3 linked regions of the Danio rerio genome follow. The protein of the gene in region 3 interacts with the protein of the main gene of each other region in a pairwise test. Links are inferred from orthologs where the notes say so. Each region holds a gene or a part of one and is shown on either strand. Other genes may lie near its edges.

Region 1 (5,183 bases), on a different chromosome or scaffold from region 3:
TTCCAGCACTAAAGGTTTCATTACATTAATAAAAGTTGTTTCTTTGAAACTGATGAAAATGAAGTGTTTATTATAAAGCAATACTACACATATTTACCGGTTAGCAGTAAAAAAATCTACTTAGTTCAAATGGAAAAGTAATTTTTATACACCTGTGTGAGACATTTGTTCTCATTATGGCTTCAACTCTCTTCATTTTGTTCAATTTCTCCGAAAATTAAACTTAATTTTCTCATTTGCACCTCGTGTACGTGTATCTGATTTAGGGATTTTCAGACATTTATACTAAAAACAGAAATATGGTCAAATATATTCATTTTTGTAGTTAATGCAGCAAATAAAACCCTCAGTTCAATGAATTAGATTTTCTGCTCTTGCTTAAACTGTGGAAAGTGTGAATTAAGACTTGCAGAAACCATTATAATGACAGATTATAAGAAAAAAACACACAAGCACAATAAAAAGAAAAATTATTATGTACTTGTTAAAGAATCGTATAAATGATGCTCAGGGGCCTATTTCTCAAACATGCAGATATCTGTATAAATTAGCTTGTAGTGCATACAGAATACACTGGGTGTTAATGCATTCAAAGGGATAGTTGACCCAAAAATTTTAATTCTATCATTGTTTCACCCTTCACTTGTTGAAAACATGACTAATTTTCCAAAAGATAAATATTTTCTTGAATATGTTCACAGAATAAAAAAACTTATAAAGGTTTAAAATTACTTGAGAGAGGGTATAATAAGGTAAATTAAATTATGGGTTGCTAACATCATGTCTATAATCATTTCAAGCTTATGCTAAAAGTATTAAAAGCCATTTCTAGGATGTTTCTGTATAACCGATGTTCAGAATAATTGTTTTAAACCTTTTGTTCACATCATCAGTGTATCTAATTGGATCGTAATTGATTCTTGGGGAATTTGTTTTGTTGTTGTTTGCTTCCAAATTATGCCAGGAATTCCATTAGAATTCCTTTGGGATTATGAGATGGAATTCTTATTTCAAAAAGAAAGATCGTATTGTGTGGCCTCCATGAACTTTATGACCACCATGCATATGAATACATGATTGTAACGACTGTACCATCATCAGTTGCATCACTATACTGTCATTTACAAATCCTCTCCCGGGACCTCATAGGATAGTGAGGTGTCTATTAGAAATACACTTCAGAATGTCTGCAGATCACCCTGGTCATTCCTCTTATGAAGTATGGTATGAATTCTAACACTCATCACATACTGCTTTCGCCAGCAAATGCAGCCAGTGTTAATATGAACACACACATACAGTACAGTACATAATCATGTACACTTATAATTTGTTTGTTTTATGTTTAGGGTTTTATGGTTGTGAAATGTGACCCTGAACTACAAGATCAGTTTTGCATAAATATATTTTTGGCAGGAATTAAAAATACATTTTATGGGCTAGGGCTACACCATATTAGAAACATCTGACATTGCAATATTTTGTTTTTCTGCAAAATATATTGCAATATACTGTATCTGTCTATAGCATTCCAGCAAACGATTAAATAGCACTTTTGTTCACACTTTATTTTAAGGTTCAATGAGTGCAGACTTTTGCTATAATAAACTCCCAATTTGATCCTTATAAATAGTTATTAAAGTAGTTTAGTTATTGTGTAGGATTGGGGATGTAGAATAAGATCATACAGAATATGTAGTTTAAAAGTACTAATAAGCAGCCAATATCTCAATAACATGCATGCAAGCAACTAATTAATAGTAAGAATTGGTCCAAAGTTTTAGCAGAAGTATTCATTTTGATTGATCGGGATAATTCTGTAGGGCAGTGAAACATGTATTAAATTTAATGAATAAACAGAGGTAAAAATGGTTTTATATTCGCACATTCGTTCATTTAGCAGTCTCTATATTGTTTACTATGTTACGTTGAATATTCGATCGGAATTACCATGCAAGTATGACTTCTAAACAACATTAACACTATCTAATTCATTGTAAACAATGTTGTGCTTTGATAGTCATTTGCTGCTAATATGATTTCCCTATTAAGAATTTGCAAAGAATACTTTTCTGAAATTATATTATTAAGGAGTATGTCTGAATATCTGAATATAAAACCAACTTTACCTCTATTGAACAAATTACAAGCAAGGATAAATGCAACAAAGCAAAGATACAAGTGAAATAAACAATGCATGCTTTATGGTTTTGTACATGTAAATGAAAAAATTAAACTACAAAGTCAACTCAACATTGCATGTCTATGCAATGTGACTACTGCAGATGCACACATTGCGATATCGAGACTAAAACAATGTCATACAGCCCTAGTATGGGTCAAAATGATCGATTTTTCTTTTATGCAAAAAATCATCTGAATAGTAAGTAAAGATCATGCTTCATTAAGATAATTAGTAAACTTCCAACTGTGAATACATCAAAACTCAATTTTTGAAAGAGCCATGTGCATTGTCATTAATTTAGAAAACTTTAAAGGCAATTTTTGTTGTAAATCTGCTAAATATTATCCCATCCCAATGTAAACTTCAATTAAAAAAACACTACAATAAAACACTGATGACTGGTTTTGTTGTCTAGGGTCACAATTTAGGATTTGGTTTTACAAACTATCATTGCACGTACGACTTATTATTAATGTACAGTGTATTACACATGGAATTATGACTAATGAATTGAATGCAATGTACAGTATGTGTACTTGTGTGGGTGTGTGTGGAAAGAAAAGCATTCACACATAGGCCTACAGCTGGAGCCGCGCTGTCCCTGAATGGTGCCACACTGTCAAGCGCCTTTGTTTAAAGCGGATTGCGGCGCCATCTAGTGGTTATTTTCCACACGTAGAAACCTCATTCAAACTTTAGTTTGTAAACAATGGTTCAGTAAAGTAAAATACACCATGTATAAATTTAAGCAGATTACAAACAACAGGTTATAAATCTTACCGTTTCTATGCAGTAACATAAATGCAGTGTAATGACGTCTCAAGTTCTGTATTTCCATAAAAAAACCAAACGCCCATGTTTATACAAATCGTTAATTCGTTAATATAGATATATCTCTCGTTTTAGTGCACACTATTTATTTAAACATTGTAAACATAAATAAACATACGTTTCAAGCACTTTACAAGCGACGGTTAAGGCGAATTTGACTCAAATAATACAATTATATCCAAATACATGGCAACAACCGCGACAAAATCTCCGTAAAGACAGTCTTAATGCTAAAGTGCAAAACAAACGCATGCAAAACCAACATATATATATTATTTGTTGTGTAAATGAAGTAAATTGATGGGGTCATCCCTTCTTACCAGTTGTGCTGACAGACAGTCGCGCTCCCGCTACCCTTTCCGCTCGAGCTCGCGCCACGTCGGCAGCGGGGTCGCGTGCGGCGGTGGCGGGTGACGTCAGCTGAACTTTTGGCACTCAGGAGACAAGAAGATAAATACTGAACAAAATACAGTCGCATTTCGTGTATGTACTACAGTAAAGTGCTACACACAGCTGCACGTGGGGCTAAAACCCTTCTTTGAGAGAGACAGTGAGGTATTTATATGGTTGAAGTCGGCTTTTAAGGTGGCGTTGAAGTTTAGAGTTGGTTTTCAAAGAGGGAAATCTGATAACGTGAAGGATGAGATAACTGTCACATTTTAAAAGCAAGTTTTCACATGCCTGTCAAACTACTTATATTTCATTGTTAATCGTTTGATACTGAGTAAATATTTGATATGGGTCCGTCGGTGGTCTGCCTTAACTTTCGTCATGTCTTTTACCCGATCATCTTACACGGTCGGCTCGTTGGTCTAGGGGTATGATTCTCGCTTAGGGTGCGAGAGGTCCCGGGTTCAAATCCCGGACGAGCCCTTCTTTTCTCTACTAAAAAGTAGTACGGCTGTTTCAATATTAAGAAAACAGTAAAAATGCAAAAAAATTAAGGTAACTCAAACAATTTGAGAAAACTAATTGCAACAAACCATTTAAGTTCAAATGCTAATCCTAATGAGTACTGTGAACTTAATCCATCTGAGTACACAAAGCAATTTGAACACTGTAAAACCCAAGTTTAAGGCAACTCAAACAGTTTGAGGAAACTGATTGCAACAAACCATCTGAGTTGAAAAACTAATATATACAAGTACTGTGAACTGACTCCATTTAAGTTGAAATAATGAGGTATTTAATTAATTCATTACCTTCAACACTGAATTCAAAACTCTTTTTAAATGAGTAGAATTAACTTTCAGTAACGTTTGAGTTAACTACACTCATTTCATTTGATAAAAAGTTGATTACACTCATTTCATTTAATAAGTTAACTGTTGGGTTTTACAGTGTAGAAAAAAATAATAGAAATGAGGATCAAAGAAAAAAAAATACAATTTAGAGATGTTTTAAGTTCAAATTCAGAAGAGACATGAGATACTATGAACTCACAGTTCAGAGTAAAAAAGTCTGAATTTTGAGTCATTTTGCATTTATTGCTATATCAGACTATTTCTTATAATTGCAGGTTCATAGGGTTTCTCACAATTTTTGCAATTTAGACCTATTTTCTCAGAATTTTTAAATTTGTCTTTATCACAATGGATCCTTTTCACACGTTTACGGTTATCATAATCTTAAATTGTTGAAAGTTTTTAACATTTTGATTAAAAAAAACACATTTATACCACATTTATAACACATTATATCAACTCTGCAAAAATTGCATCAAATCTCTTCTGGTTGCCATTATCAGTCTCATACTATTTTTACATTTATTTTCCTAAAGTCTTGATAACACCATCGTGAAGTTTTTCTTTTATTTTTTAAGCAAATGGAACTGTAAAAAAAATATTTTCTGTACTCTCCCATTCATGCGCTCAAAGTTTACCCAACTATGATGACCTCCACTACTGAGAAACCCAGAAATGTAAAAAGGAACCAGAGGTTAAATATCTGATTTGTTTCTCCATTTCTTTTTTTCAAAATTTAATTTCTTATTTTTTCTTCTTCTTATTATTATTATTATTATTATTATTTGTTTATTTATTTATTTATTTTTTACAATTTTATATTTCAAATTTAATTTTTCCCTCAGAACTCCAGTTATCAGAATTGGCAATACCCCCAATTACAGAAAAGTCGAAATTCTGGATTTATATCTAACAGTTCTGCC
Region 2 (5,083 bases), on a different chromosome or scaffold from region 3:
TTGTATTTTTCTTTTATTTGTTTCATTTTTTTAACTTGTTTAATTTAGTTTTTATTTACTATAACTTTTAAATCGTGAATGTGGTATTTTAATATTTATTACCCCCTTCATTTACAGAAAAAAAATTTCATTAAGGAGAACAACTAGGGCTGCACAATATTGGAAAACACTGACATTGAAATACTTTATTTTTCTACGATATATATTGCGATATTGAGTATAATTTCACCAGATGAAATGAATAGGTCTAATCGAAAGGTATTCAGAATTTTAGATACACTGGGCTGATTTTATAAGGTAGAGCATCATAATAAATCAATCAGAAACATTGATAAATACAGTAAAGCAACGATATGCTACAAATAAAATGCTCAGTGTAATTTTCAGCAACATTTAGTTTATCAAATGTAATAACAAAATGTAAAATAACATTGTAGTTTCCATTGCATATTTACATAAATACAATTCATCTTTCTTAAAGTTGAAAGCATAATTTTCTATGCCAGTATATTTTAAACTGACTTAAAAAAATGCCCACACAGTCACTGGCCTTTAAAACACACATAAATAATAAATGTTTTGGTACTGTTATGGTTAAACATTGCAATGACAAATCACTAGTGCTTTCAAATGTAGCAATGTGTCCTTTATGATACCAGTTTGACATTGCACATCCTGTGATGTGACTATCGCGGGTACGCATAGTGCAGTACCGATACTGAAACGATATATTGTTCAGTCCTTATAACAACACAGACTAAACATGGGTCACCGTCAGAAACATCTTAATGACTACTGAGAAAGCCACATTCACTAATGAAAACTGAATTGGACCTTCATATATTAAATTGTCAGTAAAAACAAAATCTTTTTTATTACAAAATGCCAAATACACAAGTTGAGCTTTTTCTCCCCAAAGGTCCCATTCATTCTCCTTCTCATATCAGTTGGAATGGTGGGCCAAATCAAAGGTTACCATGGGCCAACTTTGGCCCGCAAGGCCCAGTTTGGACATCTCTGTACTAAACAGACTAGCATTTTAGGCCAAAATAAAGAATTTAAATGAGTATTTATTTACAGAATGTAAACAAAATATTACAGATGTAATTTTTGAAAACTTGTTTTAAAATAATGGTCATCTCTAGACTTTAAAATTAAAGACAATTAAGCTTTTGTTCTACCTCTCAAAAACAGTGACTCAAGAAAAGGTGTCGTACAGGAGCTCTTTAATTAATCAAAATTTCACTGTGATTAAACTGAAAATTCACTGACCTAAATTCTGCACGTGAAAGAGCCATCTTAAAGAAACAGATGGATCACCATCAGTGAAATAGAAGGGGATTATATACTCAATTTTGTACACAGTTCTTCTATATGTGCCCGACACAGTTTAATGCAATGCAAGAATTTTTACAGAGCACACCACACTAATGCCAGATTAGCCAAAATACACCAAATAGAATTAATACTTGTAATAAGGGTCAACAATCTACAGCAAATCACACACACATGTTTTGATCATGTCCAAGATTAACAATGTTTTGGTCTAAAATATTTGACACTTTTGAAAAAAAACTTTAACATATCAGTCACTCCAAACCCTCTAACAGCAGTATTCGGAACTCCTTTTTTGGGACAAATTTGTCTTTAACAACACAGAACGTTGTTGCTTTCTCCTCATTATTGGCTAGGAGGCCTATTCTCCTGAAGTGGAAACAAACATCTCCACCTTTATATGACAGATGGATAAAAGACAGTTTTTAGTGTTTAAAGTTGGGAAAAAAATGGTTTTCATTAAAAGGGTCTTTAAAATCTTTTTACAAAACATAGAAACCTTTGTTGAATTATATTGACACTACTGATCTTGAAGCAGAAGAGGAATAAAGCTTTTTTTTATAAAGTGGCTCTGTATTTTATTTTAGTGGTTCTCAAAGCCCTGCATCTGAAACAACAGCCATACAGCTTTCAAAAGCATAAACAACACTTTTTGTATACGTTAAATCTGACTGAACACCCGAGAAATGACTGAAATACTGAAGCAAGAGGATTCAGGTTGATCATGTGACACTCCAGAGCAAATATGACTCACGGTCAAGCAAGTCAGCGGTATATACAGTGCTCAGCATAATTGAGTTCTCCCCATTTTGAAAATTAATATTATCATTTCTCAGTGAAATTAGGCAATGTATTTTGGTGCATTAAAAAAAAACAGATTTAAAGAACATATATATTTATTAAAATACTATTTAGACACTAAACATGAAAGATAATACAATTAAATTCATGCAAAATATTGACAAAATGTCAACTCAATTTTTCAAATATTTGTTTCTCTTGATTTTTCTTCTTTTACAAAATTGTATTTAATATTTTTCTATACCATTTAAATTTCAGTGTACTAGTTTTTGGACAGTCATCGTAAATTATTTTGTTAGATAAGCTCCTGATTGGCTTCAGCACTGACTAATGTAATGTACAAGCACAAATACTGTATAGCTTCCTATTAAAAATATAATTTTAAAAGATATGTCAGAGGTGTACTTATACATGCTGACCACTGTATTTGTGCGACAAGTTTTTTTACGCAAATAAGCATCTAATTATAGACCGTTTATAAACGGTTACATTTGGACACAAAAACAACAACGATGAAAAAACTGAACCGTTACTTCGAAATGAAAATATATTTCACGAAAATATCGCATGATAATTCAAATAATATAGTAATTATAATTGTTCTGATCGTACTGTACTGTAAAACATATTTTTATGATGCGGTCACGATTCGTAAACAACAAAGATGCCAACGAAGAAAAAGCGACGGACGTGAAGACTAGGGCTGATGAACAAACAACAATTCCCCACGACAGACGAACGATAACGTTAGACGTGAAACCAGACACTCGTGGCCTGACAGGACCGCTGTGTGTTACTGTGTTTTCATCCTGCCCGCCGTGTTGATGTGTGTGTGTGTGTGTGTGTGTGTGTGTGTGTGTGTGGTTGGGGTTTCTACCTGCCGCTCGCTCCCCAAAATTCCTCACCTTGACTTTGACACGAACTACCCCCCTCTCCTCCTCAACAGACATGGTGGGTAGTCCGCTCTAATGGTCTCGTTCAAAGATGGGATGTTGTCATCCAGAAGAAAAAAATGAAAGTAAAATAACAATGGATGCGGGTACCCGTTCTCCCCTCTCTTACTGCTTTGGCAGGTTCAATGAAAACTCCTCTAACAAGACACTCAAAAACAACCGACATCCTGCTGACACGTTTCAAAATAAAAGCCTCGCTGCAAGCAAAGCTAGAGGTGTTTCTTGTATAATACATATCTATTTTAATGATAATTCAGGTATCTGATAATCAGTGTTTCGTCTATGTAGATCCATAAATACAGACACTAACGACTATATCCATACCGAAGGCTTTCACGTTTTGAAACAACAGGATATGACGACACATTTGCATTACATCATTGGATTCATGAAGGAATGAACGATCTATGTGAGGAAAAAAACAAAAATCTTATGAAAATTAGAATTAACGACTGAACAAATGTCTGTTGGTGATTTAAAGCGATTTCATTCCAAATAATGCGTTATTTAAATTATGATGAATGTATTTGGGCAAATTAATATAACGTTAATAAGTCTAAGACTAAGTTATTACATTTGTATATATTAAAATGAATACGTTTAATGTATAGTATACGTTATATTGTATTGTAAAATGTATCAGCCACAGCAATATGAAAACGAATGCTTTGCTCTGTATATTTGCCGTGACCCGGATTCGAACCGGGGTTGCTGCGGCCACAACGCAGAGTACTAACCACTATACGATCACGGCGCGCTACTGAGCAGCTGCGCGTCTCAGGCAGATTCAGACCTTATAATTGTACAAAAAGGAGACGTGCGCGTATTTTCAAACATTTCTGGCTCATTTTTTTTCTTCAAATGTTTCTTACGCTCTCGGGCTGCCTTTGTTTGGCCCAAAAGTATAGTAAACACTTTTAATATCGTGAAGCATTATGTCCATATATATTTTTAGTAAACACTTTTAATATCGTGAAGCACTATGTCCATATATATATTTTTCTAAAGTTTTGATGAAAATGTTGGCAATTTGAAAAAATAACAACTTATTTTAAACGAAAGATATTTCATACCACCACAAACTTCTTTCCCGCACTTTAGATACATTTTTGATTTCGATATTTCTGTGAGGATATATGTCCCTCAAATTTATATTCTCTGTTATTTAAACATACTGTATTTAAAACTTCCACCATATTTAATTAACCTTTGATTTTAAAGCTTTTTTAATTTTGTGAAGTCTTTTTCTATTGAGACCTAAGAATAAAAACTGACTCATAATCTTACTTTTCATTCATTCATTCATTTTCTTGTCGGCTTAGTCCCTTTATTAATCCGGGGTCGGCACAGCGGAATGGACCACCAACTTATCCAGCAAGTTTTTACAGAGCGGATGCCCTTCCAGCCGCAACCCACCTCTGGGAAAAAATCTTACTTTTTACCAAACCATTAGTTTATTTATCTTTTTAAAACAAAAAACGATGCTTTGAAAAATGTTGGAAACTTGTAGCCATTGACAGCCATCGAAAAAAACATGATAAACATTGAAAGTCAGAGACTAGTAATTTTCAAGATTGATCAATGTATGTTTTATTAAAGAGCAAAAATCAGTACAAGGCCCTCGAAAAATGTGAAAAAAAAATATTAAAAAGCTTTTATTCACATGGCTAATCCTTGAAAAAACCTATGTGTGAAATTCAAAGTTTGGAACAAGTGGAGGATGCGTAAATAATGCCAGATTTTTTATTTGTGGGTGAACTATCCCTTTAAGCATAAAAAACACTGATAGTAATAAATGTTTCTTGAGCACCAATTCATATTAGGTTCAGTTTTTTCAAGATTGCAGTGCTGTATTTTACTCTACAGATCACATCAGATTTACCAGTAGATAGATATTAATATGGTTGCCTCTAGGATCTTTCCTTAGCCCTATAATATTTCCATCTATGCCCTTTGTCATTATATTAGTTTTAGTTTTCATTATGCCAATAATT
Region 3 (5,158 bases):
CAAGTTGTTCCAAACATTTCAAAATTTCACCTGCTGAATATGCGAGACGATCTTTTGTTTCTCCATAAGGCAAGTCACCGGTTACTAAACTGTTTGGTTATCAAAATTTCAAATATATTTGTTTTCATGCTGCAGGTGAAAGCAAGGTAGGATTATAATGATTTCTTTTTTTGGATAAACTGGATCCTGTAAACTACACACACACACACACACACACACACACACACACACACACACACACACACACACACACACACACACACACACACACACACACACACACACACACACACACACACACGTTGTGTACATAATGTGACAGATCAAAATTAAAGACATGTAAATTAAATAGACTACGTTGTTCAGTCATAACCACATCTCCACATAAATGGAAAGACATTTCTCAGTCAGTGGATAAAATGTACATGTTACCCTGCCAATGAAAACAAGGTTAAAATTAAAGCAAAATGGATCAACACAAGGAGATGGTAAGATTATCATTTAAAAACACGAGAAAAGGAGTACCACATCATTTGTTGCAATGGGTTTCAGAACAACAAAATCCTTAACATCTGGTCATCATTTAAAAAAAAAAGCATAAAATTACTTTAGGACAGTTCATAGCGGAGGCAAAAAACACTTGGGAAAAACCGAGGTACCACTTTATAGAGCGCTTTTTACTTGTATCAAATTTGATCATCAGGTACAATGTACTTACTGCTGTCATATTGTATTGCTAAACACCTTTGCTGCTATACAGGTGGGATGTGGTTAAGTTGAGGACAGGTTTAGTGCTTAATGTTTTAAGGTTAAAGGGTAGTTTAAGTTAAAGAGTCAGTAGGACAAATAAAGACACATGTTGACAGATGTAATAACATCAAGATAACGGTACTTAATCCACCAAAAATATTACACCGTATGTTCAATTTAAATGCTAGTAGACGCATATTTAAAAAACTCATTTTAAATAGGCTCCATGCAAAATATAGCCTTTAAAGGGTCACGAAACACCAAAACACATTTTTTGAGCTTTTGACAGTCGTATATGTGTCCCACACTGCTAAAAACACTATTAGGACACCTATATTTCACTAAAAAGTGTAAATTGGTTGTTTTTGCGTTATTTCAAGCAAATTCGTACTTCCTGTTTGAAACGAATTTTTGAAGCTGCGTCACGGTCATGACATAATAGCGTGTATTCCAGCATGCAGACTGGGCGTCTGTGCCTGAGTGAGTCTTATTACGTCTTACAGTGTGATGCATTAATGCATTAGTAAGGCTTGGTTCAAACCAATCAGCGAGCTCTATTGTGCAACTTCATTAATATTCATTTGTGTCACCGTGTTTACACCACAAAGACGCCACGTTGTGTTGACAAAACAAGCGTGAAGTGTTGCTTTTATAGTTTGCTGCCGTTAAGTTTCGTTTTCATTTTCTCTCTGTGAGAGCTCAGCTGGATCACGTGTGGATTAACAGTGTACGCGACGCTCGACAACAATAACTTACGTGTCTAAGGGGGATTATTGTTTACCTGAGAGCTGTTCTCATCTGCAAACGCTGAAATCTGGATTTGCTTGTAGTATTCTCTCCATAAAGACGCGGCTCTAGTTGCTGGTGATTGTCCTGTCTCTACAGATTTGGTAAGTGAGCGACCAGTGCTCTTTGTTTATTCAGTTTGTTCATATCGAATTAAGTTAACTATAGCACTGAGTGCAGAAATGTTAGCACCGCATTTAGTGACCGAAATAACACACGCGGCTTTCTGACGCTGCCTGCCGTGTGCATCTAAGTTTCCGGGAAATGCGGAGTTTTTTTTCCCTCTCATTCGCCGTGCGGTATCAAACATTGCATGAAAAATACACGCTTAGAGCAGATCCTCGAATCAAATATCTCGTTTGTCGCGAGAGGCATGAATGAATTCCCTGAATGAAAGAGCCAAACTGCAGTTAAAGTCCAACATTTAATAATTTGGCAAATAATTCGACTACAGATGTCCATGTAGGTTAAACACCATCGCTTTCTCCTGTCTGTGTGGGTGTGTATTTTGACTCTGAAACTCGCGCGTGCACAAATAGACACTCCCACACCATCCCACTTTAGTTCCTCCGACACTCCCCCCTAAACAGAGCTGGACACGCCCACTTTTCTGACTTTTTCGAAAGTGGAGGTGTGAAAACACCCTGCTGAAACGAGGGGGTTTCATGGCCCTTTAAAGGGACTACTAATAAAAATGAGCCAGTTTGGATAAAACTGACCCATTTTTACCATGTTATTTTGTTTTGTGTATTATTAATGTGCATTACACTTGATTAAATGAACAAAAATTAATAACTTGGAACCAACTAATACCAAAAATCATGTGGACATCTTATTAACGCAGTATTTATGCTATAATCCAAAAAATGTTTATGGGAATAATCAGAATCATCTGTGTAATGAGAAAAAAAAAAACTATACTAAGGCAGAAATGCATTGACTGTTGTTGTCGTATGTCTTGAGGAAAGGCCTTCAGTGACAGAAATCTGATGAGAACACTAGCAGGCCACAAATATGCACAGACATTATATGGCCCTGACTAATAAACGTGTCACTTTTATTAATGATACAAACTCGTTTCTTTTATAGCAGTCATTACTTATTAAACGTTCTGAAGAAGAAAAATGCAGCGGAATCAACGCCATTTTCAGAAAGAGTAAATAGCTGCTAGCGATGTTGGCTATAGCTAGCCAGGCTGCTTTTGGCCTTTAGATTAGCTGGACTCAAGAAAGATGTAAGTGAAGGAAGCAAACTCTCCGTCAGACGCACTGACAGGTACACAGCATGTTGCTTTTTCGCTCAACGTGTCATGCTAACAGAAAGCAGAGATTCTGCAGTCGTTATCGAGGCGGACAGCTGATATGAAGCAGCGTTTAGCCTGTCTGCTAACTCCCCCACCCAGCGGAAAACAAAAGACCGTGACAGCCTTTTAACTGCACGCCGCTGTCGTGACATAAAGCACACGCTTGGAAGTTGACATAAAGTGTGCGATAAAACGTAGCCCAGGAGCTAATGAGGCAGATGGAGAGACAAAAACAGGCTGTCAGATGTTTCTCCCACCCCTCGCGCCTCTGCTTGAACCACGTCATTAAGTCCAACACTGCGGAAATAAGCGAGTCTCGGCCGCTGCTTACCCGTGTCTCCGATGATGATGTACTTGAAGAGATACGCGTACGCCATGGCCAACCGCTCCCGGATCAACCTGTTTTGGCCTTACTAAAATGGCTCCGTGAAGCTAAAACCGCTGGGAAAGCGTGTGTGCGAGATATGCCTCCGCTAAGCCAGCCCTTTTCTCTCTTCGACGGGAAGGAACAATAAACACCTCGAGCTCCAGCCGGCCTACGTCACACGTCCCGCCTTCGCCACGCACGCAGAACAGAAGAGGATCTGCTGGACCTCACCGGAAGTTGGCTCACCTCACCGCGATGTGTCAGGTCAATGTTCGCCCTCAGGGCAGAGAGACAGTTTGGGTTTTTAGTTGTGATGTTTAAGGAGGCTTATTTTTCTCTAAACACATCAAAAGGATTTATTAGCATTTTAAAAGTTTCAAGCCTTGTACTGATATCTTAAAAGCCATATTGGGTGAACTGATTAAGTGCCTATCCGTTAACTGAGGTTGCAATTCACACAGGCTTATCAAAATTGTACAGAAGATTGGAAAAATGTTGTCTGGTCTGATGAGTCTTGATTTCTGATGCAACAGGCTCAGAATTTGGCTTCAACAACATAAGAGCATGGCAAATCTGCAGCAACTGCATGATGTTATCATGTCAATATGGACCAAAATCTCTGAGGAATATTTTCAGTGCCTTGTTGAATATATGCCACAAAATATTAGGGCAGTTCTGATGGCAAAGGGGGTCAAACCTGGTACTAGTAAGGTGTACTTAATAAAGTGGCCAGTAAGTGTATATTGCATATTGCATACATTCAAAATGTAAAGACGCGCAATAGGATTCCTTTAAAGATTAAGCTCACTCCAAAATCAAAATACTGTCATATTTGCTCATCCTCTCTCTCAAACCTGCAAGAAATCCATTAATTTAAAAAACTTTTCCTTAAAACAAGCAAAATAATCAGCCAATGGTGTAATCAAAATAATAGTGTTTTCATTTTTTTACATTTTTTTTGCTTACCCCACTGCCAGATTAATTTATGAAAAACTCACTTAATTTTTAGAAATTATTTCTGAAAACAAGGCGATACTTTTTTTTTACTTGTCTAGGAAATAATTTTTTATTTTATTTTTTAGATATTGGAACTAACAAGAAAAGCATTTATTAATATGCGGGTTCAAAAATATTTAAACATTAAGAAAATCAACTAAAAAGTTCTCTAAATGTAGTGTTTAATGCACATTAAGCAAGAAAAAAGGATTTGATATATTTAAATTATGAAATTTACACTTGTCAGTCATTATGAACAAATTCAGAATTAGTTTTGATTTGAAAAAAAAAACCCAAACCAAATCAGTCAGGCCTGGTTGGTACCATGACGCTGATTATCAATCTTTTCTGTGTGTATTCCAAACGGTTGTAGCACCCTCCAAAGGGCACTTCAGAAAGAAAACAATCATGGCTGCCATAGTTTCTATCCAAATTGAAGTGCTCAAAACTGGCTACTTCAAAGGACCCTTTGAAGGATTTTGAGGGATAAAACTGATGGATGCTTTGAGCAGGGAAGTTATTTGGTGTCCCACACTGCATTCATTTCAGAAGGGCTCATACCTATGCTCTAATCCAGGGAGTCAAACTCAGTTACTGGAAGACTGGAGCCCTACAGAGTTAAATTCCAACCCTGCTACAACACACTTAAGCCGCAGTCAAACTGGGTTTTGAGCATGTCCAATTCTGTTGTACAGCGGGGTAAAACATGTCAATGGAGCAAAAAGTGCTTTTTTGTTGCAGTTTTGGAACCCATTAGAAGTGAATTCAAGCTTTGATTCTGTGTTCAGGAAAAGCCTGCACATGAATGTTACATCATTATTAAAGAGCCAATCAAATGCCTTGAAACTATGATTGACATCTCCTGAGAGATTGAGGACAATTAAGCTATTTAAACACATTCATGAAGTAAAAGGAAAAGGTGACAACTAATAAAGCAATTGACTTTATCAGTGTAA

What was found. The genes of interacting proteins can lie anywhere in the genome.
Region 1: the proteins of rab2a (region 3) and fam114a1 interact in binary tests that used the Homo sapiens proteins (3 or more experiments, as listed by UniProt). The two-hybrid records come from large-scale screens. The link is inferred for Danio rerio from reciprocal best matches to the Homo sapiens genes RAB2A and FAM114A1.
Region 2: the proteins of rab2a (region 3) and tbc1d25 interact in binary tests that used the Homo sapiens proteins (3 or more experiments, as listed by UniProt). The link is inferred for Danio rerio from reciprocal best matches to the Homo sapiens genes RAB2A and TBC1D25.

What each region holds. Positions count from the first base shown.
Region 1 is NC_133176.1:20,108,344-20,113,526, forward strand, and holds the start of fam114a1 (protein NOXP20), read right to left. Parts: upstream 3,369-5,183; 5' UTR 3,337-3,368; intron 1-3,336. UniProt on the Homo sapiens protein: May play a role in neuronal cell development.
Region 2 is NC_133183.1:25,551,559-25,556,641, reverse strand, and holds the start of tbc1d25 (TBC1 domain family member 25), read right to left. Parts: upstream 3,369-5,083; 5' UTR 3,087-3,368; coding exon 3,042-3,086; intron 1-3,041. UniProt on the Homo sapiens protein: Acts as a GTPase-activating protein specific for RAB33B. Involved in the regulation of autophagosome maturation, the process in which autophagosomes fuse with endosomes and lysosomes.
Region 3 is NC_133177.1:25,073,956-25,079,113, forward strand, and holds the start of rab2a (ras-related protein Rab-2A), read right to left. Parts: upstream 3,447-5,158; 5' UTR 3,217-3,446; coding exon 3,171-3,216; exon of another isoform or gene 3,136-3,170; intron 2,356-3,135; exon of another isoform or gene 2,216-2,355; intron 1,000-2,215; exon of another isoform or gene 1-999.